Linked DNA regions of Rhinolophus ferrumequinum. The protein of the gene in region 1 purifies or fractionates together with the protein of each later gene. This does not show direct contact. Links are inferred from orthologs where the notes say so. Each region holds a gene or a part of one and is shown in the gene's direction. Other genes may lie near its edges. The genes, in order: OCRL, SNX9, PHETA1 and AP2A1.

Region 1 (7,493 bases):
ATACAGTAAGGAATTTACCATAAAATTAACAAAATTTGAGTCATAGGATATCATATGTGAAGGAGAAGCAGGGTTCGTGGATAAACCGGAAGTTTCAAACTTGGGTGACTAGTTAAACAGTGGTATCATGAACAACCACAGGTAAGTCCAAAGGTGGTTATGGATTTAAAAAAATGATTTAGCCAATTTACAGAAATGACTTCACACGTACAGAAGCACATAAGTAAGCATAGTCCCCAAAATGATCCCCCAAAAGGAGATACAACAATTTGCCGCAGAATGAGGCCTAGGGAAATGATTATGTTTGTCCAGTTGCCTTTGTCCCCTCTACTGGTCCTAGGCTGAGGAGATTAATATCTTCACCTAACTTTGACTCCAGGGCCAGCTATTTCAATGCATCCTAAACACCACTTTAGACTCCCTCACCCCATGACCTCCTGCTGTGCCTGCTATACTAACTCCCAAGCCTAATGCACCTTCTTGGCATGTTTCCCCTGCTCTTGCTTTCCATCTTAAAGTGTTGCCGAAGAAAGTTATAGGCATGTGTTCCTTTGAACCACTATAGAAATTCATGCCATCTGCCTCCAATTGTGCTCTCCGTTGCTCTAAAACGCTTTACCTTTTCTGCATTCACTGTCACTCTCCAACAGTGCCTGTTCCCTCCTTCTACATCGTATTCAAGTTCTCAAACCCTCTACTCTCAACTTTAATTTCATCAGATTAAATGTGATCATTCAGGTAGACAAGTTACCAGAGTACCTGGCATATAGAATGTTCTAAATAAACACTGGTACTACTATTAATACTGAATGAACAACATAATATGTTGGTTAAAAAGCTAAGGCTTTGGATTCAGACAAATGTCAGTTTCTGCCACTTACTAGTTAATGGTCAAGTTGCTAAATGTCTCTGAGTCTCAGTTTTCTCATCTTTAAAATGGAAACAATATTAATAATTTACAGCGATTTAGTGAGAATTAAATGAAAGGCCATGAGAAGAGGGTCTGTCACGTGAGTCTTCAACATAGCCACCAGGATCAGGTATTGTTGTTATTATTACTATTATAATATCCACTTATTACTTTTTTTGGAGAAAATCATCATCTCTTCTGTGAGAGATCACAGTTTTTAACGTCCTCACCTCCATGTCTTCACAACTTCTTAATCTTTACAACAAACATTTGAGTACCCCACTATATAAAGGGCACTATTTTAGGTGCTGGAGATACTGGAGACTTGGAGGAGGAAGTTACCCTCTTCTCTAAGGTTGATGCTTCCATCTGTACCTTGGATACTTGTCCTTCCCTAATTACTGAGGATTTTTTCTTGCAACCTTCCTGCTTTTCTCTTCTTGTATTTTAAATGCCCCCCTCTTCGCTGGCTCCTTCCCCTTTGCTTTAAAGTGGCTTCAGGTTGTGTCAACTATTTCTGTTTGACCCTTCTAACTAACTTAATTAAAATTTCATTTTACTCCTTTTTATTTCCAAGCCTCTTCAATACATGGTCTCTTATCTCCATTTCCTCACGATATAGTCCCTTCTCAATTCTGTCACCTTGTTTCTACCTTCACCACATATTGAAACCACTTATTTCATGGTCTCCAGTGAACTCCTGAAGAAAGTCTCTCAGTCCTCATTTTCCTTGTCCCTTTTTCAACATTTGACACTAACCCTCCCCTGCATATTATTTCTTTGTTTTTCATTTTCATTGATTGCAAGCAATTTAAAATGCAGGAAAGGACATGAAATAACATAACCAATATATGTACCTACCACCCAGTTCTATCAAACTCTGCAACATCAACTTTCAGATTGTGTATAAAATACGTACATATAGATATATATATTACAGATATAGTTGATATTCCCTTTGTGCCCCTCTCCCTGTTTTGTATTTGGTGATTATCATGCCCTTTCTTGTTTTATACACTTTTACTATTATGTCTATATAGTGATAAGCAACATATAATGTTTTCAGGCTTTATGTAGATGGTAAACTGTACATATTAATATTCTGAAATTTTCTCTTCGTGCTCAACATTATATTTTTGACAATGAGCTCTGTTAATACATATAGTTTGAGCTATTCATTTTAATTTCAAAATAGTATTCAACTTCATGAATACTATGATTTATTTATTAATTCACCTACTGATGGATATTTAATTTGATTCCATTTTTTGAGGTTACAAATAATGCTGCAGTGAACAGTTTTTTACATGTCTCCTTGTGCCCAAAGTGTAGAATTTTGCCCAGGTCTATTGCTAGATTTGGAATTTCTAGATTGAAAGGTATTACATGTACAATTATATTATATGATGTCAAATTCCTCTTCATAGCAGTTCTACCAATTTACACCCCTTCTCACAGTGACCAGAGTTCTATCTGTTCTACATCCTCAACATTTGGTGTTGTCTGAATTTCAATTTTTGCCAAACCAAGGGTTGTAAAATGGTATCTCATGGTTTTAATTTTCAATTTCACTGAACAGTAATGAATTGAAGCATCCTTTCATGTCTTTATTGATCATTTGGGTTTCTTTAACTATGAGTTGCTTATTCACATATTTTGTAAATTTTCTACTAGTTTTTTTTCTTTTTTCTCACTTATTTGTAGGGGTTCTTATACATTCTGGATACTAATTCATTCATTCAATCAATATTTTTCTAGCATCGACTTTGTTCCAAGAAGGGTTCTAGGCACTAGGAATGAACCAATGAACAAAACAGACAAAAATCCCTGCCCTCATGGAACTTACATTCTGGGGGGTGGGGGGTGTAAACAATAACCAAAATTAATAAGTAAAATAGAATAATGGATAGTAATAAATCCTCTGGAGAAAACTAAACAGGGAAGATAAATAGGGAGCATGTGGGTATGGGAGTGGGAAAAGAGACTGTTGAACTGCAATTTTAAATAAAGTTGTCTAGGAAGGCCTCGCTGAGGAAGTGACATTTGAGCAAAGATATGCAGGAGGTAGAAGTGCAGGCAGGGTGAACAGCAAGTGCAAAGGCCCTGAGGCAAGAGTGTTTCTGGCATGACCTAGGAATAGCAAGGAACAGTGACTAAGCAGAGTGAGTTGGAGAGAGTGGTGGAAGAAGAAGTCAAAAAGGTGATGACAGCTAGAAGTGTAGAACCTCACAGGTTATCCTTTGTCAGTTACATGCATTTAAAGTATTTTATCCCAGTCTATGGCTTTTCTTTTAACTTGTGTATGTTGTCTTTAAGTAAAGTGTAATGTAGTTAAATGTGTTAATCAATTACTTTATTGTTTGTGCTTTTCAGTATCTTAAGTAATTATTCACAGTCCCTATTCCAAGGTCATAAAGATGTTCTTCTGAAAGTTGTAAAGATTTGCGTCTCATATTTAAATGTTTGACCCACCCAGAATTGATTTTTCCCCTCTATGGTGTGAGGTAGGGATCTAATTTTATAATTTTCCATATGGATGATCAATAGGCCCAACACTATTTAGTGGATAATCCATTGTCCCCTACTGCTTTGAAAGTTGACATGTATGCTGCATATCAACTTCCTATATGTGTGGATCTGTTTGGAGGCTCTATAGTCAGTTCCATTGGTCTCTCTACCTCCATACCACACTGTCTTAATTACTATAGGTTTAAAATCAGTCATGATATATAGTCAATTGTAGATTCTTGAGCAAATTAATAACAAAAAAGAAGCATTCCTCTGGGATTCTTAGAATATTCTTATAATTGTCAACAGAGTGAAATAGTCCAAGGAGATATCACAAGGGCTTACAATAAAGTGATGGTAGTGCAAATAGAGAGAAAACAAGAAATCTAAAAGTAATTCCAAAGAAAATATTAACAAGGTTTATTGACTGATTGGATGCAGAGAAATTAGGAGAGAGGGAAAAAATCATACGGCTTTGAAGTTTCAAGCCTGGGGTGGCTGTGTGAAATGATGAGTTATTTTTGTCATTCAGTGTTGTGCTAACAATGGGGTATATTAGGCAAAGGATCAGGGCCAGGGATGTATTTTTGGTCGTTGCCTGCATAGAGGTGACTCGGAAGGGGCGCAAAAGTCTGACTGAGCTTTGGAGATTTTTCCGATTTAGGAAGTGGAAGGAAGAAGAGGACAGGGGCGGGGGAGATAGAATAACCAGTACATTATAACCGTAATAAGGAATTTTTTGAATGGATGATGTGGGTCCTATTGGCCCAACACTTTTGAGATCCTCATAGGTATGACTATGTTTTGTTTCTGTGGCAATCTTCAAATCTCCAGAACAGTTTTGGTGTCACGGGCAGCATTTAAAACATATTCCTTGCTGGACGTGGTGGAGATGCCCCAGGTCCGTCGGGTCTCTAGCTGCAGTTCCGGAGTGTGGCCGCAGGGGGCAGACTCTGCGGCGGCCTGGAAAACTGGCGGGGGCGCGAGACGCCTCTCTCTCTCGGGTCAGGCTCTCAGCGCCCGGCTCCCGGCTCCCCGCGCGCGGTGCGGAGCCTTTCCTAAAAAGACGCGCAGCCGAGTCGCGTGGGTGGGAGGACGCGGCAGGCAGTGTCGTCGGATCCGCCCGCAGTCCGCAGCCCAGCTGAGCCCGGAGGCCGCCCGGATGGAGCCACCGCTCCCAGTCGGAGCCCAGCCCCTTGCCGTATCCGCCTGAGAGATGGGGGAGGGAAGGCCTCGTAGGGCGGGGGTGGGTGTCGGGGGAACTGCGGGACGCGGCGGAGGCTGGCGGGCTGGGGGTTGCGGTCAAGAACAGAGGCCGAGTCTAGCGGGGGAGGGGACTGGCGCGGGAGACGATACCCAGGGCACCACCGAGGGCACGTAGAGGGGCGACAACCTCCCACAGACCCTTGACTAGCGCTCTCATACTGTCGAGGGTATGGAGATGAAGGGTCCTCTCCGGGAGCCCTGCGCCCTGACCCTAGCCCAGAGGAACGGGCAATATGAGTAAGTAACCACCTGATTCCCGCAGAGGAGGGGAGCCTGCCATTACCGCCCAACCCCAAACCGCGATGAGCCTCCCACCCGCCTCCCACAGAAGCCACGCTGGCAACAAGTTCAGGGCCAGGTGTGAAGTGCGAGTGCTCTAACCACGGGGCTTTGTCCCCAACTTCCAAGCCCTTGGATTGCTCCGGGCATTGAGGCTCACTGGAAGGACTCAGTGGGCGGGGAAGCAGGAAGCCTGGGTTCTCAGTTCCTACCCCTGCAACTGACGAATGTTGTGTAACCTTGGGCAAGTCAATAAAGCTTTCTGGGCCTTAGTGTCCTCATCAGTTAAATAAAAAATTAGCTGCCTATCTTATAGCTTTTGGAGTTGTAACTGGGAGAATAATAAACGTGAAAGTGGTTTGCAAAAAAGTAAAAGTGCTGTAGGATCGCTTCATTGTTAACCTTGACAGAAGTGCCTTTTCTTAATTCCAATCAACAGGTTCCTCTAGTCTCCCCACAACCTTAATCCACTTGCTAAAAGGCATATTCATTAATTCAGTAATGGTTTAGTGTAGGTCAGTAACTCCCTCATTTATTCACTTGATTGTTAAAGTAATGAAATGTGCAAAAATATAAACGACATTTGGCATTTTATCAGTGTGTGTTACCTTCCACTCTGCCTTGTAAATAGGAGCTCGGTAAATACTGTTGACTGATTGATCAAAAGATTATTTTGATAAGCTGTCACTATAGCTGCTTCTCTCACTCCCTTGCTACAAATGCTTCATATTAAAAGTATGGTGACCATCACATGGTATCATAGGCCCCTATTCCTGTGTGCCCAAGTCTCCCTTGGTGATCACAGGTTTCTTTTTTATTTTTTTAAATTAAAGTTTATTGGGGTGATAATTGTTAGTAAAGTTATATAGATTTCAGGTGTACAATTCTGTAATACATTATATCTCACATTGTCTGTTCACCACCCAGAGTCAGTTCTCTTTCCATCACCATATATTAGACTCTGTTTACCCTCTTCTAGAGCCCCCCCCCTTCCCCTCTGGTAATCCCTAAATTATTGTCTATGTCTATGAGTTTTTCTTCCTTTATTTGTCATTCTTTTCCTGTTTTCAGTTTTATATACCACATATCAGTGAAATCATCTGGTTCTCCACTTTTTCTGTCTGACTTGTTCGCTTAGCATTATAATCTCAAGATCCAAACATGTTGTCACAAATGGTACTACTTCATTATTTCTTACCACCGAATAGTATTCCACTGTGTATATATACCACAACTTCTTTATCCATTCATCTATCGAAGGACATTTTGGTTGTTTCCATGTCTTGGCCACCGTAAATAAAGCTGCAATGAACATTGGAGCACATGTGTCTTTATGGATAAATGTTTTCAGATTTTTTGGGTAGATATCCAGGAGAGGGATTGCTGGGTCTTATAGTAATTCTATTCATAATTTTTTGAGTAATTCTATTCATAATGTCACTTAATTTTACATTTTAGGTTGTTGAGGTGTGTTACAACACACCTCAACAATCACTATGACGAGGCCCATTTCAGCAGTGGGCCAGATGACCTAGCTCAGAACGCATTTTAATAAGCAAACACGAGGACATTTCTCAGCAAACAGCCTTCCCTTGTCACTACATTCTTTTAACAAGTGCCCCACACTGCCTCCCATAGCGGCTGCACCAGTCTGCATTCCCAACAGTGTATGAGGGTTCCTTTTTATCCACAGCATCTCCAACACTTGTTACTATTTGTCTTGTTGATAGCCATTCTGACTGGGGTGAGGTGATATCTCATTGTGGCTTTTACTTGCATTTCTCTGATGATTAGTGATGTTGAGCATTTTTTCATATGTCTGTTTGCCATTTGTATGTCCTATTTGGAGAAATGTCTCTTCAGGTCCTATGCCCGTTTTTTCAATTGGATTGTTTGGTTTTTTGTTCTTGAGTTGTATGAGTTCTTTGCATGTTTTGGATATTAGCCCCTTATCGGAGGCACAGTTTGCAGAAATCTTCTCCCATTCAGTTGTTTGCCTCTTCATTTTGTCGATGGTTTCTTTTGCTGTGCAGAAGTTTTCAAGTTTGATATAGTCCCGTTCATTTATTTCAGCTTTTACTTCCCTTGCCTTTGGAGTCAAATTCATGAAATCCTCTTTCAACCCAAAGTCCATAAGTTTAGTACTTATGTTTTCTTCTATGCAGTTTGTTGTTTCAGGTTTATGCTTAGGTCTTTGATCCATTTTGAATTAATTTTGGTACATGGTGACAGAGAGCAGTCTAGTTTCATTCTTTTGCACATGGCTTTCCAATTCTCCCAGCACCATTTATTAAAGAGTCTATCTTTTCTCCATTGTATGTTATTGAGTTCTTTGTCAAAAATTGTCTGTCAATACTTAATGTGGGTTTATTTCTGGGTTCTCAATTCTATTACATTGGTCTGTGTGTCTATATTTCTGCCAATACCATGCTGTTTTGATTATTGTTGCCCTGTAGTACAAGCTAAAGTCAGGGAGTGTGATACCTTCAGCATTGCTCTTTTTTCTTCAAATTGCTTTGGCTATTTGGGG
Region 2 (7,209 bases), on another chromosome or scaffold:
AAGAGCTCAAAGCCTAAACTGAACAACTCTTTGTGGCTCTGGCTACAGCTTTTTTTCTTTTAAAAGTGCCATCTAGCCAAACGCAGTCTGCAAATGCAAATCAAATTCCTTAGCTAATCAATTGTGTTCTCACCAATGGGAGTAATGGAAATTCAGGCTGTAGAGCAAATAGCTGAACTTGACGTGTGCCAGTTTCAACCTCTGGGTTCTGAGGACGGCCCACGGAAAGCACCACCTCTGAGAAAGCCTGTCAAAGGAAGGAAGTGGATGGGAGGAAAGAAAGAGGTTTGAACAGGTGATCAAATGGAATCAGAAGATGAAACCACGTTCTTCCCAACTTGGCCCAGGGCTTTTCGTGATTATCCTGAGTGACGTCAACTTTCTAGTTTGGGAGAAGCCACTGTTCCACTTGGCGGCTGGACTTCTTGGAATAAGATGAAAGGATATCATGCTTCTTCTGTTCTTCTAGTGTGGGTGGGTGGCTCCTAGCACAGTTCAAGACAGGAGTCCTTGACTGGTTTATCTTGTTACCGGTCTAAGAGTCCATGTGCCCTACGCTTCCGAAAGCCAAAACTCCAAACATAAGAGTTGGGAGTAAGGAAAGGTTTATTGTTTGAGAAGGTGCCACTTGAAAAAATGGGGGGTTCTAATCCTCAAATCAATCTTAAGAAAGTACAGAGTTCAGGCTTCTTTTAAGTCAAGGGAAGGGAAGATGGGAGGGGCAAGAGGTGATTGACGACCACAGACATCTGGGTACCAGCAGGGTCTGAGGAAGACCCGGAAATCTCTAAATCTCTTTGTTTGTTCTTAGTCTGTTCACCCCAGCTGACCTGAGTCTGCTCTTGAGGCTCCTGCAAGCCTTTGATAAATTATCATTATTTTTGTACACATTTCCCCCACCTGCTTGGGAGCGGCGCCTTCCAGCAAGGGACTGTTCTTTTAAAAACTCAAGTCCCACGTAGAATTCTTCTAATGATTAGCATCTCTCTAGCAGGAGCTGTTAGCCTGAAGGCCACAGGAACAACGCACGCCGGAATAAGATTGGGCCAGAGAGACGGATCATGTCACTGGTACAGTGACTGTCTTGACCTTCACAAAACTGCCTTCGAACCTCTCACCTGAAATATTTTTAGTTCAAAAATGACATGTTTTGGAGACCCGTGATAAGAGAAGTGGGCTCTTGTCTCTGCTCTGGCCTAATGCACACCAATAGGTAAGTCATTTACCTACCCTGTAAGGTCCAGTCGGACCAGCGAGCATTGGGCAGTTGAGGTTTATATGCCGTTAGGGACAAAGAGAGGGGAACGGGTCTGGGATTTCAAAGGCAATAAGCAATTTACAGGTAGCTGAGTAAGAGGGGAACACAGGTGACAGGCAAATCCCTGCTAGCCAACTCTGAAACAATGGGACATGAGGTGGGGCGTCTAGTTAACAGGCCCCAGCTTAGAGCCTTTCTATGTGCCACAATATGTTGATTCCCTTCCAGGAGAAGGCCTTTCCATCTGAATCTCTTAGGCAGGAAAGGGCGTGGGTCAAAGGTTCTCTCGGGGTCTTCATTTCTTAATAACCAACTTAAAATCAGTATCCCAAGAGGCACACTTTGGGGGTGGCAAAACTTTGGTCCCCTTCAGTGGTGCTAGGGCAGGTTGGAGACATGGGCACAAAGCCTCTGCTCCTTAACTTACTGTCTGATGGGGGGAGTCAGGCAACTGGTCACTCAATAATGAATTACAAACAAATTTCCAAAGGCAAGGAAACCAAGTACGGTGAGACCTTCAATCAACAGAACTTGACTGAAACTGGGGGCAGGGAAGATTTCCCTGAGGAATACTAACTGCTGTGACGCTCCAGGAGAGCTCCGAAGGATGAGTGGGAGGTCAGCTGGTGTGTGGGGTGGTGGGGGGAAGTGAACAGATGGTGGGGGGATAGGGGTAATTCAGACAAAGAAACAACACAAGCAATGTAATTTGCTGTGAAATGAAATGAAAACGTGAGGTCTCTTGTTCAAGACTATTCAGAATTTAAAGTTTGTGAGAGAGAAGCATTAAAGCAAGAGTGGGGTCCCTCTAAGCACTGGACCCTGCGCAGGTCACATGCCCAGGAACCTCTCCATGGAACAGAGTATGATGCTGGGGGGGGGGGGGGGAGGAAGCGAGAGGCCAGTATGGCCCCGGGAGGGTGGTATTAGATGGAGCTGGAGCTCAGACTCCCTGAGATTACATTAGTGATGCACTACCGGACTAGGAAACAATGTCATGGTGTTTTTACTATCTCAATAATACAGGTAGTGATTTCACTTTCATTTAATGTTTTTATTGATTTTGCTTAGTCATCATGAATTTGATGTCTTCCATGGTTACTTCTAAGGATGAAACCAAGACTACAGAAATTGTTCAAATCGGAAAAGCTTGGACTCTGGTCTTTTTCCTTTCTTGGTATCAGGTGTCCAGGTTGATTGGTGGTAACCGCAGGCTTGAGGCAGAACCTCTTGGAAGGTCCAGGGAGCCATTGCTCTGCTTGGTCCCGGATGTTTATTCAGCACTCATTTTACTCAGCCCAGAGGAGAGCACAACTGGCCCACCAGCACCCCATCCAGGCGGGTGTCAATTGAGCATGCCAAAAAGCACAGGTCACAGGATCAACCCCGAGTTTGTAGCTCCCTTACAAAACATGCATTGTTGAACTGCTGCAGGGAGCTGAAGGCAGCTTTCAAATGTGAAAGAATATGGAAAATTCATTACTTATGCTATTACCCAAGTTCAAATCCTGGCTTTTCCACATACAAGTTAGTATGTGTTCTTAGTCCAGATATTTATTTAGTTGTTTATTAAAACAAACATTTTTAAAATAAAGTAATAAACACATTTTCAAAAATTCTGACGATGGCATCTAATGAATCTTCAGGCATTTTCTAGGTATATACAAAGTATTTTCATATTTTTTTACACAAGTGGATTGTGCTATGCTATGTTTATCTTTATTTGTGCCTTTTTAAATATTATCCTTTTCTTATGGGCTTCCCAGAATTTCATTTGCCTGGTATGCTGTATTGAAACAGTCCTATTAACAAACATATAGGTTGCTTTCTGTTTTGGGTTAGAACAATGCTTTACTTAACTAACATCATGACTCACTTGCGCAAATCTGACAGCACGATACATTCCTAGAAATAGACCTGCTAGGCCCAAGGTTATGGGAATTTTCAATTTTGAAAAGTATTACCAAATCAGCCAAGTTATTTCAGGGAGACTTGATTTCTTCATGTCTGTAAACAGTGGACAACAATGACTTTCTCAAAGTTTCCTTATAAGGATTAAATAAGATTAAAGCATGTGAAAGTCTAGTACCATGTTTCCCCGAAAATAAGACCTAGCTGGACCATCAGCTCTAATGCATCTTTTGGAGCAAAAATTAATATAAGACCTGGTATTATATTATATTGATTATATTATAAAGACCGGGTCCTATACTAATTTTTGCTGCAAAAGATGTATTAGAGCTGATGGTCCAGCTAGGTCTTATTTTCTGGGAAACAGTATATAGTAATTAAACTGTCAATGAATGGTAATCTCTCGCTTTCCTTTTACTTTGACTATTTATGAGTATTATAATTTATGACTATAGCTTTAGCCATGAACTCAGCAAACAAAAAATTTACAGAAAATTCTGTAACACCATATCCATTTTCAACTCCATTGCTGAATGTATAATAACTCTTCAAATCTCTGGAGGTCAAAGAGTATTTTCGACAGAACACAAAATTTGGCATTAGTTCTAAATACTGCTTTTCTAGGCTAATAATCAAATCTAGACTTGATTTGATAGCTGCCTCTTTTAACATATATATCCCTGATAATAAAAAACAAACTGTACTACACTGACATACCAATTAAGATATATCTTCCAGTCATATTTTTGGTACTCCAGTGATAATCTTACTGCTCAATTTAAGTCATTCATGTATGAATAAAACCCGTGTGTCCAACTCTGAAGAAAAACATGTTGACAAAAAAATATGGAAAATTTTAGACCTCTCATTTCCACTTTCAGAAAATACGTTGTATCTTCCCCAAACCTCTAGGGCCCTGCGTCATTTTTAAATTGATCAAGCGTGCAGAAGGTTAATGTGACATCTCAGAATGAACTCTCCAAGCGTCGCGGCCCAGAAGCTCCAGGCGGGATCCCAGCCTGTGGTAACCCCAGGCTTGAGGCAGAACCTCCTGGAAGGGCCGGTCGGACCAGGGAGCCATTGCTCCGCTCGGTCCCGGCTGTTTATGTAGCACTCGTTTTACTCAGCCCAGAGCACAGTCGGCCCAACAGCACTCCCGACTCAGGACCAAGATCCCCGTTGGTCACCCGTGCCCGGCCAGGGGGACGTAGACTTGTCACCGTAGCCTCGTGCCTCACGCAGCCGAACTTGAGCCGCTGCGTGCGGCGCGGTCGTGAGGAGCCAGTCGGGACTCGGCTCCCGGGGAGGGCGCTCCCCCCCGAGGCGTCCTCACTCCCCCCAACATTTCCGCGGGCAGCCAGGCGGGGCGCGGCCGGGGGCTGGGACCCGGGCACCGACCCCGACTCCGGCAGCGACTCGGGCCGCGTCCCTGAGCGGTGGAACAAAGGGCGCCCGGCGGCGGCGGGCCCGGGGCGGAGGCTCCGGGCGGGGGCGGAAAGTGGGCGAGGAGGCCTGGCTGGCCGAGGGCACCGGGCGCGCTTCCGCCGGCCGCGCCGCGCACGCCGCGGTAAATGGGAGGCTCGCCGGCAGGGGCGGGGGCCGCGCAGTCGGGGAGTTTCAGGAACTGGCGGAGCGGGCGGCGGCTGGAGTCACCCAGCGCCCAGACTCGGGGCCGAGGCGGAGCTGTCGCCGCCGCCGCCGCGCCGTGGCCCAGTCGTAGCCGCCCTCACCTTCGCCTGCCCGCCTCGGGCCGACAGCGCGGCGCGGGAGAGGAGCCGGCCGTCCCGGGCCGGAGATCCGCCCGCCATGGCCACTAAGGTGAGGGGCGCGCAGCGCAGGCCCTGGCGGCCCCTCGGCTCCGCGGCGGGGCCAGGAGGGTCCGGGCCGGGGACGCGGGCGGCAGGGACGCGGGCGAAGCTGAGGGGCCGGCTCGCAGCCCCCCAGGGCTCGGGTCACGCGGGGCGAGGGCGTTCGGGGGCCCGGCTGCAGGCGCTAGAGGGTCGTGGGGCGGGACCCCGGACGCGAGCGGGGCCTCCTGCAAAGTTTGCCCCTGAACGTGGGCTGCGGCCGGCCGCGTGGAGGTGAAGTTCCCGCAGCCCTCGGCTCGCTCGGAGGAGCCGTGCCGGCCACCGGGAGACGCTGGTAAGGTTCCGAGTGGTGTCCAGTCGCCAGTGCCCCGCACATCCGGCCGCGGCGGAGAGGAGCGTCCCCTCCCTCCGCCTCCTGGTGGACTCCCGGCACGCCGGCCGGTTTTGGGGGACTCGACCCCGGCGGGAGAGGACTCGGCGTTTTAAATTCAGGCCGGCGAGCGAGAGCTCCGGGGGAGGGAAAACGCAAATTGAACGCCCCGCGCTTCCACTTCCTTTCTTGTTTTTTTTTTTCTTTTGTTTTGTTAGCTTTTCAGTTTGAATGTTATTTCCAGCGTGAATAAAATACAAAGAGGGAAATGACTGGGCTTTCAATAACGCGTTTGCTTGAAAAAGGCCCAGGCCCGACTTACGTGGTGGAAGTTTGACTCGCGCTTGGTAATTGGCCAGGAGTGGTGCTTTGCTTATTTTAGAGTATTTTTCGTAGAATTAGAGGTCACCCTTCGCTGCTTGCGTCTGCTGGCGTCACCCTTCCCCGCTCCCTTTCCTGGGGTGTTTTCCTTAATTCTTAATGTAAACTAGGAAAGCCAGGACCATTGAATGAAGATTCCAGGAGGTAGTCATGTGTTTTGAGGAATGCATTGACTTTTGCAAATAGTTTTTTGTTCTGTCACTTTTGTAAAGATCAGCACCCTCTTCCATATTTATGTTTGAAATCTGTAAGCTTTTTTTGGTTTGTTGAAAGCCTAACGTTTTTGTTCTTGGGTTTTTGTTTTTGGTAGAGAGACAGGAAAGTAGTAAGAAATGTGAAATCCCTTTAAAAGATAAGATTGTCTGATACCATTTCAGTCTGTTAAATTTTTTGCTCTAAATTTATGTAGGTGCAGTGTTTAGTTTTTTTTTTTTTTTTAAAGGCCACTCTTCTCCAGGGAACCTGTTGCCTGCAGTTACTGAAATAATTACCTACTAGTTAATAGATTATTAGCTATACCCTTCCTTGGTTTTATAAGATGTGATAGAATTTGCTACCTTTTTAACGTATATAATGTTTCGTTGATCCTTTTAAAAACAAAACTCAAAACTCAACAAAACGCACGGATGTCTTAAGGAAATTTGATTTTGAGGTTTGTTGCCACACATTCCAGAAATTACCAGTTACACGGCCTTATTTTACACTCACCTTGCAACCTTAAAAGCTGTTTGTGGTAGTTATCTGTTTAGTGGTGGTCAGGGCTGTGGTATTTCACACTCTGATCTAATGCACGTTACTGGTACTGTCTTTTAGGTGGGTCCAGGCTTAGCAACTAGTGTGGGTATACATGATGAAAAATTTGATAGTTACACCTGAACTTAGTTTTTCCATAAAATCGAAAAGGACAGTTATTGTACTAAACTTGAATTGCACATGTCCTCACTAGACACAAGCCTTAAAGCATGTGTCAGCACTTCCGACTTGATTATCCCCACCACTCTGAAGGCAAATTCCGGTAACTCTGGCTCTTAGTTTCTTTCACCTTTCTAATCACTATTCCACATGGGACTCATTTCCTTGTTTACATGGTGGCAAACTACTTCCATTTTTTTTAAGAAAGGACGAGGAAAAGAGCATTTATTAAAAGAGGACCCATCCTCAGAGTTCTGGTTTTCCTACTTCATGGTGATTCTGTATCAAACCAAAGTCTCATTTTATTTGTTCCCAGAGAAAGTTGTACTTGCTGTTTCCCCTCCAACATCTAGTGGTTTGGGTTTTTCCCTTCCCTTTCTTTAATTGGGTAGTTGGGGAGCATGTACTTTTAATAACTAATAACATCTAACTTTTTAATAAAATTTTAAGACTCATTTGGTACACAGGCTCTTGCTAGGAGCATTAAGTGATGACAAATAAATGCAATATCTGGACATTTTAGGTAGTGTCAGGTTTCCCTTTGAATTTTCCTTTGAAGCCAGAGTTTG
Region 3 (8,054 bases), on another chromosome or scaffold:
ATCTTGGTTATTGACAAGGAGCAAGTGAAACTCAAGGTTTCACTTGCTCCTTGGGAGGAAGTATTTAGGAATTCGGTGGTCGGCAGCAGAAGAGAAAAGAGAGGGTTTGGCAAGGGGGGAGAAGAGAGGCTCCATAAATAATAGAGGGGATGAGGAGGAGAGGACTCAGCAATGCCCCCTTTTAGGGCAGGTTCCCAAACCCTCCATTTGACGCTATGCAATGAGCTGGCAAGACCTTGCAAGACGCCTTCAGCAAGAGTCACACACAGGACCCAGGCCTCAGGCTGGTGGTGCACGGGTCCCCGTTTCTCCCCAACACCTCCCAGAGGAGGGGGGCCCTTTGAGGTCCAGGGACTCTGGCCTTTCCTGTCACTGCCCCTCTCACAGTCTGTGGCCTGGGCCAGGTATTTGTGGTGGAGGACAATTTCAGTTCCTTCTTGGGGCTGGCTGGGCCTGGCCACTTCTGGGGTGGGGCAACCACTGTGGAAGGAAACTCTGCCTCACACCCCAGCTGGGACCACTATCTTCCCTGCTGGTGGCTGCACAAAGTGGGGGATCAGTAGAAAGGGCTGGGAGGCCAAAATCTGGATGCCAGATGGCAGGTCCTGCGGGCACCTTCCTGGGAGGAACTGGCTCAAGCCTGGAGTCACTCAGTACTTTCTATATGCCAGGTGCTGTGCCAGGCGCTGGAGATGCAACAGTGAACAAAGTAGGCGAAACTCCCTGCCCTCATGGACCTACCCTCTAACCTGGGGTGGTGGGGAGGTGTCACAGGTTACGCAGAGTCATCAAACCCAAATACGATACCTATAATTGGCCTGCCCTGGCTTTTCTCCTGCTTCGTTGTCTGTACCTTCTCATCTCCTTGGTGGGTCCTCCTCATCCCACCGACCTTCTGAGTAAAGCTCACAGGCCTCTCTGATCTCACCTCTCTTCTCCTTTTGCTCTCTTTGCTCCAGCCACACTGGCCCCCTTGACATGTTTCTTGCCTCTGAGCCTTTCCATTTGTTGTTTCCTCTGCCAGGAATGCTGTTCCCTCTGGATATCTGCATGGCTTGTGCCCTTATTTCCTTCAGGTCTTTAATCAAAAGCTACCTTCTGTAGGCCTCACCTAATGAAAATGGCAACTCACCATCCTCATTCACAATTCATATGCTTTTCCCTTGCTTTATTTTTCTCCTTGACTCCTAACGTCATCTAATGTACTGTATGAATGTTGCTTCCTTATTTTTTTCCTCTGGTAAGGGAGGACAGGAACACTTGCCTGTCATTAAAAAAAAATAATTCATTGAGGTGAAATTCACATGACATAAAATCGACCATTTTAAAATGAATTCACAACGTTGTACAACCACCACCTCTATCTAGTTCCAAAAAGTTTTCATCACTCAAAAGTAAAGCCCCGTACCTGTTAAGCAGTCACTTCCCACTCGCCTCTCCCCCTAGTACCAGGCAACCATTGATGGTCTGCTTTCTGTCCCTGTGGATTTATCTATTCTGGACATTTCATAACGATGGAATCATACAATGTGTGGCCCTTTGTGTTTTGCTTCTTTCACTTAGCATAGCATATTCGAGATTCAGCCACATTGTAGCATGTGTCAGTACTTCATTCCTTTTTATGACTGAGTAAATATTCCATTGTATGGATGGACCATGTGTAATTTACCCATTCATCCCTTGATGGAGATCTGGGATGTCTTCACCTTCTGGGTAGTGTAACTAGTGCTGCTACAAACATGCATGTATGTACTTATCTGTCTTTTTAACTTGTATCCTGGTGTCTGAGATGCAGTTAGTGCTCACTAAATATTGGTTGAAAGAATGACTGATTGGAGGAAACAAAGGCATTAGACTCATCAGGGTGGGGCTGGGGGTCATATGCCTTCCTGGAAGAGGTGACCGCTGAGTGAGAGCTTGAAGGATGAGTCCTGGAAGGGACCGGCATGTGTAAAGGTTCAGGGTATGGTGCATTCTGGGAACAGAGGGGAGCCAGGTGGCCAAAGCTGAGGGAGTGGGGATGAGAAAATGTGTGTGCAGAGCCTGGAGGGGTGGGCAGAGGCCAAGACAAGTAAGGCCTTGCCACTCACAGAAAGGACCTGGACTTGCTCCTGACGTGATGTGAAGCCATGGAAAGGCTTCGAGCAAGAGAGTGCCATGACTTGATTTGACTTAAGTTTTATTAAGTGGAGAATGGATTCAGGGGTTGCAGGGTCCAGAGTGCCAGAAGGGAGACCCGAGAGAAGATTATGGCAGCCAACCTGGCAAGAGATGCCAGTAGCCTGGGATGGGGAAGTGGTGGCAGAGATGGAGAAGTGACAAACTCGAGACATGGTTTGGAAGTAAAATCGTCAGGACTTGGTAACAGTAGCCACAACCCAGTTCTGGTTTTGAAATTCTTCTTTCCAGTCCTTCTGAATCACTGTCCCTGTTCCGGTCCATTACATTTCCAGCGACAAAGATGCTGACTGTTCATCGCCCAAAGGGGCAAACAACTTAATGTCTGTCCATCAGGGGACGAAAGGATAGAAAAATGTGGTCCATCCGTAAAACCGGATATTCCTCAGCCATACAGGAAGGAGATACTCGTGCTGTAACATGGATAAAGCTTGGAAGCGTGATGCCGAGTGAAAGAAACCAGTCACAAAAGGCCACATATTGTGTGATTCCATTTATATGAGTTGTCCAGAATAGGTAGATTCACACAGACAGAAAGTAGATTAGCAGTGCTGGGGGTTGAGGGCAGGGGCCAATGGGGAGTAATCACTACTGGGTGTAGGGTTTTACTTTGGAGTGATACAAATGTTCTGGAACCAGATTGAAGGTTCACAAAATTGTGAATGTACTAACCATCGATGAATTGTTCTCTTTATTTATATTTTTTGCTGGTGATTTTTTAAAATTTGGGAGCTGTATTTATTTTCTTTGATGTATTTTCAGCTTTATTGAGGTAAGATAAGGTGTACATTGTGATGATCTGAAATTCATATACATTGTAAAACGATTCCTTCATTTAGCTAATTAACACATCTATCACCTCACATATTTACAGTGTATATATATTTGCATGTATGGGAGAGAACATAGAAGTTCTACTTTCTCAGCAAATTTCAGTTATTCAATAGTGTTACCAACTATAGTCACCATGTTATACATTATGTTCACTTGTATTATTATTATTATTATTATTATTATTATTATTATTAAGGAGGGCACAGCTCACGGTGGTCCATGCGGGGATCAAACTGGCAACCTTGGTGTTATTAGCACCATGCTCTAACCAACTGAACTAACCGGCCATCCCTATGTTCACTTTTAAACAGTTAATTTTTTATGTAAATTTCACGTCAACTGAAAAAATAATGACTCAGAAAAATAAAAGATGCTAGGCACTTGCTCTCTGACTTCTGCCTCTTTCACTCATATCATCCCTTGACTCCAGCAAGAGGGCTCTGAGAGCCAAGGCTCATAGGCTTCTGGGAAATTTCCCACACACTAAGGCCCAAATGCCCATATGCCTGGCATTCGCCTTACGTGGCAAGTGTCTAGACTTGGATAAATTCTACCTTGCCTTTCCTGCTGGAGTAATTAATGCAGCATCAGGTACAACTGGATCCAGGGGCTCAGCTGACATCAGATATCATCAGGTAGCTGTCTCTCTCCACTCTTGAAAGCAAAGTCTTTTCTATGATCTACAAGGCCCTAAGCAACCTGCCTTTGCCAATACTCCCTGACCTTTTGTTCCTACTATTCTTCCACTTGCTCACTTGACTCCAGCCCCATTGGCCTCTTGCCCATTCAAACATGCTTGGCATGGTCCCATCTCAGGACCTTTGCACTTGCTGGTCCCTCTGCCTGTACATCCTTCCCCCAGATATCTACACAGCTCCCTCCGTCCCTGCCTCTCAGGAAAGCTTTCCCTGACTACCTTGTCTAAAGTTGTACTTCTAGTCTTTCTACCCCACTGCCATGGCTAATAGTTGTCCTAGCAGAATCACTTCTAGTACTCATCTTGTTTGTTGGTCAACTCAGGAACAGTGCCTGGTACAGTGGCTGACACACAGTAGGCACTCAGTGAAACACTGTAGAATGAATAGATGATCCAGGTCTGTCCTGTTTCTCTCCTGCCCTCACGCCAGAACCAGACAGTGATTGAGTCCTGGAGGACTGAGGGGTGGCAGCAAGAGCAGGAAGTAAAGACAGGTCCAGGGAGGTGGAACTGTGTTATTTGGGTAGGATAAAAAGGGCAGCAATTCCTATTTGCTGACAGCACTTGCTCTGTGCCATGAACTTGACATACCATTACTGTCTTTATTTTACAGATGAGGAAACTGAGGCCTAGACAAGTGAAGCGATTTCTCTAAGACCCTCCAGAACTTTCCCTCTTCCCATGGGGCAAGAGGTAGGGTTGCCAGGCATTTTGGACATATAGTACAGTCCTCCATTGACTTGGTCAGAACGCCCGAAATGTCCTGTATTCAGCTTGTTTTCTAGAAATCACACGTTTTCAGCATGTCCAGTTATTTTTCAATTTAATTGGGCGTTAAATTTACTAAATCTGGCAACCCTAGTCAGGGAGGAGCTCAGACTCCAGGCCTAGGGCTTCAGTGAGAGGTCCTGCCTGGGCCTCCCGATGTTTTTTCAGGGAGAACCCACAACCGGTCCTTACCCCTGGAAGCGCGTTGATTCTCCGGGACCGGATCCTCTTTCCTGGGATGAGGCACTGAAGACTCGTGAAACATCGTAGGCCCTTTAAGAGTGGTTTCGGGGCAGGGCCCACGGGGGCGTGGCGAATCCGGGGGCGTGTCGGGTCCGGCCTGACCAACCCCGGGGCGGGACAATCGCTGGGGCGGGTGGGTCGGGAAGGGTTAAAGGGGTGCGCCCGGGGGGTCCCTGGCTGTCCCGCTGCCTCCGCCTCCTTTCGTCCGAGCCGCGCTCTCTCGCGGCTGCGCCGGCTCGGCCGCCCGGGAGACAAAGCGCCGACGCCGTCACCGTCGCCGCCACCGAGCGGGTCCTGGGCCATGGCCAGGCCGCCCGCCGGCCCTGCGCCTCCCATTCCGTCGCCGCCACTGCCGCCCTAGGCCTCGCTGCGAGGTAAGGCCGGCCTGGAGCGGGGACCTGCTGGAAGACCTGCAAAGGGGACGCGCGGGACAGGGCTCCGGCCACCGTGGGCCTCGGGGTCCTGCGGGCGTCTGGAGAGACCTCTGATGGGGATCTGTAATTTCCCCATTAGGGACCCCAGGTGCGGGGGACAAACTTGGCCGATGACTCCCCTCCTCCCCCCGGCCCCGTAAGGAACCTCTGCCGCTTTTTGAACTATGGGGCAAGCCCTCCACTTGGCACTCACATTCTGCCATTGACCACCGATCCGGGGCTCTGGCTGCCCTTTAGGAAACTCAAGAGAACTTCCACACGACACGAAGGGACAGAAGGCAGCTAGGATCAGAGCTGGAGATCCAGTCTCTGCAATAGGCAGTGGGGCTGCCTCTGGCCTGGCGCTGCCATCCTGGCGTCGCTGTGGCCCCTGCTTCATGGTTCCCCCAGCACATGTTTTTCTGCCTGTACCTGCCACACCCTCTCCTGCATGCCCACTGCTAGGGGACACTGTGGCAGCTGGATTCAACCTCAGGACTTGTGGTCTGGTTTCTTTCCTTGAAGTGTGTGCCAAAATGCCATAGCACAGTTTCCCAACAGTCCAGGATTCTGGGCCACCCGTTTCCCGGGAGACCTTGAGCTAATTATTTGCCTTTTGGACAGCTTTCCTGAGTGCTCACTACCTGCTAAGCAATTTGCAAAATGGCTTTTCAGGATTAATTTATTCAACCCTTCCTGGAGGGATGGATGTTAGTGTTCTCATTTTATAGATGAGGCTGTGAAAACCCCAACTCATAACGGCAATATGTTTGGTGGCTTTCCCACAGTTTTCCAGCAGGCTTTCCTCATTTTAGCTCATTGAATCCTCTCCACAGCCCACTGACAGATGAGGAAACTGAGGCTTGGAAAGGTGAAGTGACTTTCTCAAGGCCCTCCCGCCTGTTCTAGAGGAGGCGAGAACTTGGCCCTGGGACCAGAAAGGAGCTGGGAATCAGAAGCAGTGCCCAGAGTGGACTTTGACCGTCTTGGAAAATAACAGGAGTGTGAGGAGATAAGCCAGGGACCAGGCCCTGCCCCAGGCTAGAGCTGTGCCCCTGCTGCTTACTGTACTCACCCCCCCACACACACACACCTTGGTTCTTGCTGGGGTTGGAGGAAGCAGAGGCCATGGACAGAGCAGGGTCCTGTGTTGCCGGTGACCCTGGCCTGGCTGGCCCCATTTGCTGAGCATGAGGGAAACTGCTCTTCCTTTGGCCTTAATGGGGTGGAGAGACCCCAACATCAGTTCCTTTGGGCCAGCTGCATAGAGCATTTGATTCTGGGCACAGCATTGTACCTTTGGGCAAGTGCCTTAATCTCTGTGTGTCTCCGTTTCCACATCCGTGAATGTGGGATGGAGAATAGACCCCTTGTCATGGGGCTTGTTGAGAGGTTTAAGATGACTGTTTGACTCGTTTTACAGGCATTTCAGCACAAACTACTGCCAGACACTGGGATCCAGACAAAAGCCCCTAGAGCAGGCAAAAATGACCTAGGTACTTTCAGGATGGGGTACAAGAGAGTGACTGGGGGAGTCTCTTGTATAGGGTGGTCAGGGACTGCCTCCCTGAGGAGATGATGGTCAAGCTGAAACTGAAGGATGAGGAGTTGGCCATGTGAAGATATGGGAAGGGCATTCCAGGCAGAGGGAAGAGCCAGGGCAAAGGCCCTGAGACGGGAACATGAGGAACAGCAAGGAGACCCGGGTGGCTGAAGATGAGTGAGCAAGAGGAAGGGAATTTGGACACCATGGGGAAGACTGAATTTTATACTGAGAGAAGTAGGGAGCCATGGGAGGGCTTAGAGTGGAGGAGAAGTGTGGCTGAATTTGGTTTTCACAGGATCTCTCTACGGGGCATGGATTTCAGTGGAGAGGCCTAGGAAAGAGTTTGGCTCTTACCCTGAAGAACATGGACAGGGAAGGGACAAGGGTGGAGGCAGGGAGACAAATGAAGAGGCCACTAGATGGAGCGGGCCAGGCGAGCAGTGATGGGGGCCTAGAGTGTGGAGGTGGCAGTGGACAGAGATTAGGCCACTGATTTGGAAGAGGTTGGAGGGGGGATCAGCTGGACTTGATGAGTGGTCATAGTAGGGGTGAGGGGAGAAACCAAAGGCCATTTGCTGAGACAGAGCATGGAGGGGAGCATGTGGGGAGAATGTCAACAACTGCTACTTCTGAGCACATACGTGTGCCTGGCACCATGCTCAGTGCCTGGTATGTAATCACTGTGTTATCGTCACAAAAACCCTGACTTAGGTGCTATTATGATCCTATTTTGCAGATGTGGAAATAGAGGCCCAAAGAGGCTTAAAGCGTGCCTGAGATCACACATCCTCGACACTACAGAGCTGATATTTGAACCCAGAGAACAGCACACCGAAAGCAGATTGGGCTGAGGGCAGGGAGGTGAGTGGTGGCCTGAGAGGTAGGAGGAAAATGGGACAAGTGGAGTGGATAGTTCCTGTGAGAAATGGGGCTTGGGTCCATATGGGGTTGTTGGGCTGTGGGGGAGAATGCATGAGTCCCATTTTGCAGAGAGAGAAACTGAGGCTCAGAGAAGGGCAGCCCATGTCTGAAGTCACACCGGGAGGCACAGCAGGGACTCTGGCTTTGGCCTGGTTACCAGGTCAGCACAGGCTGACTCAGCTATGAAATCAACTTGTGTTGCCTCTTCCAGGAAGCTTTCCTTGACTGCATAGGCAGGTGAGACGAGTTGGATTTGGTTAGGAGCAATCGCCCCCTGCTCCCTGGGTCAGGTTGCCTGGCTGGGCCCCTCGGTGGCCAGGTGCTCCCAGGAGAGCCACCAACCATACCTCATTCCTCCAGGCCCTGAGTAAGGCACCACCCAGGCTGGGGAATAAACATTAATTGAACACCTAGACATTCCAGGGACTTCATATACTTTGTCTCTTGAAAAATG
Region 4 (7,430 bases), on another chromosome or scaffold:
AGGTAGGGTTTCCAGGCGGGAATTCCCGCCTGTTTTCAGGAATTTTTTTTGCTTTCCCGTTCCCGAATACTGATATATAAACTGTTTTCTGTTCTCCACGATGAATCGTTTCCACAAAGTGACGGCCAATAATACTACCAACCACCTGGGTTCAAGGAGCCGATTTTCCCGATTTCCCGACCAAATTTTCTCGAGATTCAAGAACGGAAAAAGCGAAAAAATTCCAGAGAACGGGCAGGAATTCCCGCCTGGAAACCCTAGCGATAAATAGGAAACATGTCTAAGAGATACATTGTGAGTAGTATGTTTATTTCCCATTGTGGGTATTACTGGCTTCAAGGAGCCGATTTTCCTGATTTCCTGACCAACTTTTCTCAGGATTCGGGAACGGGAAAGCGAAAAAAATTTCCTGAGAATAGATGGGAATTCTTGCCTGGAAACCCTAGTTCCAGGCAAGAGATGATGGTGATGGTGGCCTACACGGGGCGGGGCAGTAGTGATGTAAGGAGGTGGCTGGCTCTGGGATATGTTGTGCCCTTGGTTTGAGGTGACAGACAGGAGGGATTCTAGCGAGAGTGCCTGGGTGATTGATGGAGGGCCCATTTGTCAAAATGGGAAGACTGGGGGTGAATACAGTTTTTCTGGAGAAAGTTGAGAGTTGATTTGCTCAGGTCAAAGTCTTAGAAGCTCTTGATGGTTCAATCCATGAGCTCCTTTAAGACAGAGCTGCTGTGTCTTAAAACCAAAATGGACTTTCCCAAACCTCATCTAGACCACCAAACGTGGATTTGTTTGTGGCCTGGTCTTAAAACTTAGCAGTGGGTCAACCCCTGAGCTCCAAAATGTTCTTTCTCAAATCTGGTCCTATAATTCTATGCCATCCAATATCAATGCCACTATGAATGGCCTGTGTCTACTGAGGGCTTGCAATGTGGCCAGTCTCAACTGAGATGTACTATAAGTAAAAAACCCTGGATTTCAAAGACTTAGAAAAATAAGCATGCCAAATATGTTGAAATGTAATATTTGGGTATATTGGATCAGATACAATATATTATTAAAATTAATTTCACCTTTTCTTTTTACTTTTTTTTTAATATGCCTGGAATAAATAGAAATTTATACCTGTGGCTCCCACTGTATACCTACCGGGGGTGCCACAAAAACGTATACACATGACTGGTATTCATCTTTTGTTATCGGTATATATTGAGTATTACAATTTTAATACAGTTCCCCCCCCTTTCTTCCGCCTCTCCCACCCCCTACTCCCGTTGTTTCTCAGTCTAGTTGTGTAGGACACAGCTCCCTGGCCCATGCTGGTATTATGAGCCTTGTGCTCCCCTCTGGTGAGGCAGTCAGTTGCCAGTCCTTGGTCGGCTGCTCACAGCAGCTCATAGCAGCTCTCACCAGCTGCCAGCCGCTCATGCTGGCCACCGGCTGCTCATGGTGGCACACAGTAGACGGTGGCAGCTCACGCCAACCTCTGGCTGCACACTGCAGCCCAGCTCCAGGGAGAGCCGTTGTTCACAATCTTAGCTGTAGAGGGCGCAGCTCACTGGCCCATATGGGAATGGAACCTGCGACCTTGGTGTTAGGAGCACGGCGCTCCAACCACCTGAGCCACCGGGCCGGCCCTAATATGGTTTTATCCTTTCTTAAAATATATATACATTTTTTTTTGGCACCCTCTGTATATCGGTAAGCCCTGCTCTAATTCAACAGGGGTCAAGTCCACAAGCTCCTAAGGGGGCACCATGTCCACCCCACATGCAGGTTTCCCCAAAGTCTCCTTTGCCATTCTGACTCTTTAGACCTCAGACTGCCTTTGCTTTAGACCCTGTCTTAAAAGTTTTTGGCTCCTTCAGCTGCGGCAGCCATTGAGGAGCACCAGCCATGGTCCTGCACTACCCCATGGCCATGAGCCTCAGCCAGGGCCACAAGTGACCAAGAAAGTGAGCAAGTGGAGGCACAACTGACTCCGCTGCTGGCGCCTCACCCGAGTTCTGTGGGACATGATCTGAGAGGTGTGCGGCTTTGCCCTCTATGAGTGGCGCCATGGAGCTGCTTAAGGTCTCTTAGGACAAGTGAGCCCTGAAGTTCATCAAGAAAAGGGTGAGGACACATTTCTGTGTCAAGAGAAGAGAGGAGCTGAGCAGTTCTTACAGTCATGAGGAAGGCAGCTGCCAAGAAGGACTGACTGAGCCCCATCCCCCTCTGTGTAATAAAACCTTTTCAGAAAAAAAAAAAGTTTTTGTTAATTCATGGGCTCTGGAGGTGGTTGGGAGAGGACTGAGTTTTCCTGTATATCCACACTGAGAACTCAGAATTAACTCCATCTTACTCCAGGTGGGTGAAAGGTGAAGGGTTGGAGGTGGTGGGTGAGAGGAAGGTGGAGAGCTGAGGTGGGTAAGAAAGTGGCTTTCCCCCTTACTTAGAGAAGGACTTTACCTGTTCTTGGGACTCTGGCTGTCTCTCTTCACATTCCTCAAAAAGCGGAGTAGTTAGAACCTCCACTGTGTGTGTGTGTGTGTGTGTGTGTGTGTGTGTGTGTGTGTGATATCTATATCTATCTATCTATCTATCTATCTATCTATCTATCTATCTATCTATCTATATAGATAAATTTTTTTAATGGCATTATCTTCTGGGAGAAAGTGCCTCCTCCTATGTGACGAATGGACCCCTCCAGTCCTTGGATGCTTAACATACCTTCCTTAAAAAGGACTGTTTTCAACTCCTGGTCCTAAGAATTTTTTATTTTTAATGGGCTTGTTCTATGTTCTTTAGGGGCAGACAGCACCCCCAACTGTTATTAGGAATGGACTCCCTTGGTCACTAAAACAGCTGAGTGATGTCTGTCCAGAATACACTTTCCCAAGCCCCATTCCTGGAAACCCAAATGGACAGATCCATTGAACCCGGAAGGTGGGCTCTTCTCACCCTAATCTCCATCCCCCCAGGACTCAGCCTGAACGTTCCCGCCAACCAGGACACTCCACCAAGGCTCATTCCAAGAATACTAGGTTTCAGAGATCTGAAAAGGGTAATGGGTGGGGTTTAGTTCCTCCGTGACAGAAATGGACTCTTCCAGTTCCCTTTGCCCCAAATTGCTCAATAGCCTGGGGCGTTGGAGTTCCGGAGGCTTTGACTTCCCAAAACCCAGTCAACCAGAGCGGGTCTCTGGGGCACTGAAGGGTGGTGGTTGGGCCAACCACAGCAGATCTACCTATTCCTTCCTTTTAAACAGCGTTCTTCAGTACTGGGTCCCATTCTTGCTCAGGAGCTGCAAGTCTGGTGGAGAGATTCACAATTTTGACTTGATATCTGTATAATGGCGTTATGATTGCGACAAAAAGGCATTGCCTATTAAAAAGTCGTTAAAAGCCAAAATATAATTTAAATTCCGATTCTGACACTTCCTAGCTGTGTGACCTTGGGCAAGTCATTCAACCTCTCTGAACCTCAGTTTTGACCTCTGCTTAATGGGACGAGACTTGAATTACTGTGTCCTCTGCCTTGGGATTCTCGGTCTCCCGACAAGTTAGGTCTCAACTTCTTGGCCGCTAAATAAGGGAGGAGGAGGTGGTGGTGGGGAAATCTTAGAAGATTTAAGGAGAGTAGGTGGAGGAAAGTAGGGAGAAAGGGGAACAGACACACGCTTGCGCAGTAAACACCTCACGCTTTCTTGCCCCTCCCATCCCCTTCTCTGCAGCAGGGAATTGCAGACGACGCTCCACCTATCCCAGACCAGCTGAGCGACACCTTCCCTTCTCCTTCCTTTTCCACCTTTCATCACCCTGCTCCAGCCCACATTACCGCCCAATGGTGGGCGGGAGCAGGACGGCCCGGCGAATCTGCGAGGTCTGCGGGGGCGATCTATTCGCCCATTGGCCCGAGTCAAAGCAAGTTCCGCCTCCTCAAGCCCGCTCCCCCGCCTTCCTTCACGCCAATCCCTCCCTTGTAGAGAGCGTTCGAATCCAATCAATATCCCAAGTATCCGCGCGTAGGGGGCGGTCCCACAGTACGTAACCGGACTCCGCCCGCCTCTCGGCAACGCCTCCTCCCCCGAACGGAAATAGCGGGGAGCTGGACCAATCGTAGCGGCGTGCCTTTGCCCTGCGGCCAATGAGAGAGGGAGTGAGGGAGATCCTGTGTCTGAGCAGCAGTGACCTGAGCCAATGGGCGGCTGTGAGCTCAGACGGCGGAGGGGAGGGAGGGGCCGGGGGCGGAGCTGCGGCCTGCCAGCCCGCCTGCCTGTCCGCCCGCCCTCCCCCCCTGGCCGGCTCGGCTCCTTGGCGTTGCCTGGGGTCCTTTCCTCCCGATCCCTGTCTGCCAGCCCCCGCTGCGCTGTGCCCTGCCCGGCCAGGCCTGGAGCCGACACCACCGCCATCATGCCGGCCGTGTCCAAGGGCGATGGGATGCGGGGGCTCGCGGTGTTCATCTCCGACATCCGGAACTGTGAGAGCTCGGCGGGGGGACACTGGAGACGGGGAGCGTGGAATTGAGGGGTTCGAGGGTTACAGAGAGGCCCGGGGGATAGAAAACCATTGGGGTCGTAGAGGGAAAAGATAGAGAGGACCCGGGGGGAACTTTAGGGTGGGGGGAATGGAGGGGCTTAGGGTGTCATAGAGTGCCTCTTGAGGTGACGACACGGAGTGGCTAGAGGCGTCTGGGAGGGTCTTAAAGGAGAGGAGGCTAGTAAGGTTCCAAGGATGGGGGCATAGAGGTGTCCCTGTGGATGATAGCCGGATGGGTCGTATTAGCGATGGGGTTAGAGGAATCCCTGATGTAGATACAAAGGGAAGGTGGTGGATGGGTTGCGGGGGGGCGGGGGGGGTATTCTGTGGAGTGATAGAGTGGGAGGAGGCTAGAGGGGCCTGGGAGGACGTGAAACGCTGGGAGCCTAATGGGGCCGCGCTTGAGGGCCTGGTTGAGAGGTTGTCATAGAGGGAAGAAGCTAGATAGGTCATTGAGGCCCTTGGCTAGTACATAGAGAGGGCCTGGGGATGATAGAAAGTCCCAGGGGTTGGGAAAGAGAGGTGGGAAGGTGGGGGCCTATAGCGGGACCCTGGTGAGGGACAGAGGGGCTCCAGGATGGAGGATTGCTTAGGAGATATTGAGGGCAGTGCAGAGGCTTGAGGGGTTACGGAGGGGAAAAGAGGGACTCACGGAGTGTAGAGGAGAGACACTGCAGGTGAGGGTCTTGGAAGAACCTGAGACAGAAAGCTGGGGCCTGAAAAGGGGAGGATATTATAAAGTAGGGGCTTGGGGGATGTTCCAGAAAGGGAAGAGCCCAGAGCTCAAAGAAGGGGCCAGGGAGCCTTAGGAATTTGTGAGGAAGAGATCTGAAAAGCTGGGGAGTAGAGGAAGCCTGGTCTCAGAGAGGGGTCAGGGAGCATGACAGTTCTGAATCTATAGCCCTGTCCCTTCTGACCATCTCAATATGGGACAGTGAGCACCACCAGGAAGGATTGTCATGGCAATGGGAGGCCTGGCATCCAGTCAGTCCCAACTCCTGGGATCTGGTGTTGGTATTTGGAGCTGCCAAGAGCTTCAGAGGCTGTTCCACATGGGATTTGGGGGCAGCTAGACCTGGGTTTGAGTTTAAATGCTGTCACTCCCCAGTGGTGTGTTAATGTGTGTGAATGAGGCCTTTTGCACATTCCAGGCACCGGGAGGATCTTGGCTATTGTTCTTGTTATTTTGCTGGATCTGAGGAGTGGCCAAGGATCTAGCACATAGTAGATGTTCAATGAACAGGAAGGGTGGAAACTGTTGGTATCAGGTGGTTGTCATGAAAAGGGGTGGAGCTAGGAGGGGTTGTGGACTAGGAGGGGTTGCCGGCTGGTAGAAGCAGGTGTGCATCGCCTCTGATACCTACCAGACATGAGACCCTTGGCATATCACTTTAACCTCTCTGAGGCTCAGTTTGATTGTCTGCAAACCTCAGTGAGAATAGCATCTTGCCTCTGAAGGTTCATTCATTCATCTGACAAGTACTTTTGAATCAGTAAAGTGTGCCAGACACTGTTCTGGGGACTGAGGCTACAAAAGTGAACAAAAATTCCTGCCCTTGGGAGTACCATGTCATGAGGGAGAAAATAAACACAGAGAACCTGCAATACATGATACAATGTCAGACTATGCTGTGAAGAAAAATAAAGAAGGGGAGGCAGGCAGAGGGCCCCGGACTGAGAGGGTGCTCAGTGAAGGCCTCCCCGAAGAGCTGACATGTGAGGGGAGACTTGAGTGAATGGCGGGAGTAAGCCCTGTGGATCCAGGCAGGGGAACAGTGCATTCAAAGGTCCTGAGGTCGCGGCACACTTGGTGTGTGTTCCCATATGAGTGAGGGGGCCGATGTAGCTGGAGCCAAAAGAGGGAGAGAGGATGGGAGCTGACGTGTAGGGCTTTGTGGGTCACAGTGAGCCCTTTGGCCTTTCCCTGAGTGAAATGAGAGAGGCAGCAAGGTTTTAAGCGCAGGAGGGACACGAGCTGATTGATGTTTTAAAATAATTTTTCTGGCCGCTATGAAGAGCACAGACTGGAGGCAAGAGCAGAAGCAGGGAAAGAATTAGATGCCTATCCAGGTGCGAGATGGTGTTGGCTCACCTGGGGTGAGAAGGGAGTGGGGAGAAGTGGTTGGATTTGGGATAAATTCTGTAGGATTTGCAAAGGGATTGGATGATGGGGTTAGGGAAGGAAAGAGAAAACAGGTTGGTGTCACTGCAGGACCCCAGCGGGAAGCCAGAGGACAGAGAGGAGACTCCAACTTGGGGACAGTGGAGGTAATTTTGCCAAATGTATTGGGGCTGGACAATCAGGGCTTCCCCTTGTCTTTTTCTCATCAGGTATATGTTGAGTGCCTGGTATGTTTCTCGCCTTATTATAGGCGCTGGGGATATAACGGTGAATAGGACAGACTTGTCAGTGTCCCTGTGGAGCTCCTAGCCCCGTGAGGGAGACCTGTACTGCATAAAAAATGCAGCTGTCCTTGTTACAAACAGTTGTATACAGATGTTGATAGCAGCATTATTCATGATAGCCAAAAAGTGGAAACAACCCAAATATTCATCGATAGATGAATGGATAAACAGATGTTTTCCACCCACACAATGGAATATTATTCAGCCATTAAAAAGAATGCAGTACTGATAACCTAGATGCTACAACACGGATGAACCTTGAAAACATCATTCTAAATGAAAGAAGCCAGACACACAAAAATGTATGATTCCATTTATCTGAAACGTCTGGAATAGGCAAATCCATAGAAACAGAAAGTAGATTAGTGGTTGCCTAGGGCGAGGGGTTGGTGGAATGTGGAGTGACTGCTAAGGAGTGCAGGGTTTCTTTTTGGGGTGATGAAAACGTTCTGGAATTAGTGGTGATGGTTGCACAACATTGTGGACATACTAAAGACCACTTGA

Evidence for each region.
Region 2: the proteins of OCRL (region 1) and SNX9 purify together in Homo sapiens (co-immunoprecipitation; 3 studies listed by BioGRID and IntAct, with this or other methods). This does not show direct contact. The link is inferred for Rhinolophus ferrumequinum from reciprocal best matches to the Homo sapiens genes OCRL and SNX9.
Region 3: the proteins of OCRL (region 1) and PHETA1 purify together in Homo sapiens (co-immunoprecipitation; 5 studies listed by BioGRID and IntAct, counting the BioPlex papers as one, with this or other methods). This does not show direct contact. The link is inferred for Rhinolophus ferrumequinum from reciprocal best matches to the Homo sapiens genes OCRL and PHETA1.
Region 4: the proteins of OCRL (region 1) and AP2A1 purify together in Homo sapiens (affinity purification with mass spectrometry; 3 studies listed by BioGRID and IntAct, counting the BioPlex papers as one, with this or other methods). This does not show direct contact. The link is inferred for Rhinolophus ferrumequinum from reciprocal best matches to the Homo sapiens genes OCRL and AP2A1.

The regions. Positions count from the first base shown.
Region 1 is NC_046284.1:26,460,210-26,467,702, reverse strand, and holds the start of OCRL (inositol polyphosphate 5-phosphatase OCRL), read left to right. Parts: upstream 1-4,389; 5' UTR 4,390-4,580; coding exon 4,581-4,619; intron 4,620-4,841; coding exon 4,842-4,921; intron 4,922-7,493. UniProt on the Homo sapiens protein: Catalyzes the hydrolysis of the 5-position phosphate of phosphatidylinositol 4,5-bisphosphate (PtdIns(4,5)P2) and phosphatidylinositol-3,4,5-bisphosphate (PtdIns(3,4,5)P3), with the greatest catalytic activity towards PtdIns(4,5)P2.
Region 2 is NC_046286.1:99,676,172-99,683,380, forward strand, and holds the start of SNX9 (sorting nexin-9), read left to right. Parts: upstream 1-4,124; 5' UTR 4,125-4,975; coding exon 4,976-4,987; intron 4,988-7,209. UniProt on the Homo sapiens protein: Involved in endocytosis and intracellular vesicle trafficking, both during interphase and at the end of mitosis. Required for efficient progress through mitosis and cytokinesis. Required for normal formation of the cleavage furrow at the end of mitosis.
Region 3 is NC_046308.1:6,756,539-6,764,592, reverse strand, and holds the start of PHETA1 (sesquipedalian-1), read left to right. Parts: upstream 1-4,877; 5' UTR 4,878-5,094; intron 5,095-7,415; 5' UTR 7,416-7,540; intron 7,541-8,054. UniProt on the Homo sapiens protein: Plays a role in endocytic trafficking. Required for receptor recycling from endosomes, both to the trans-Golgi network and the plasma membrane.
Region 4 is NC_046298.1:44,814,261-44,821,690, forward strand, and holds the start of AP2A1 (AP-2 complex subunit alpha-1), read left to right. Parts: upstream 1-4,245; 5' UTR 4,246-4,394; coding exon 4,395-4,461; intron 4,462-7,430.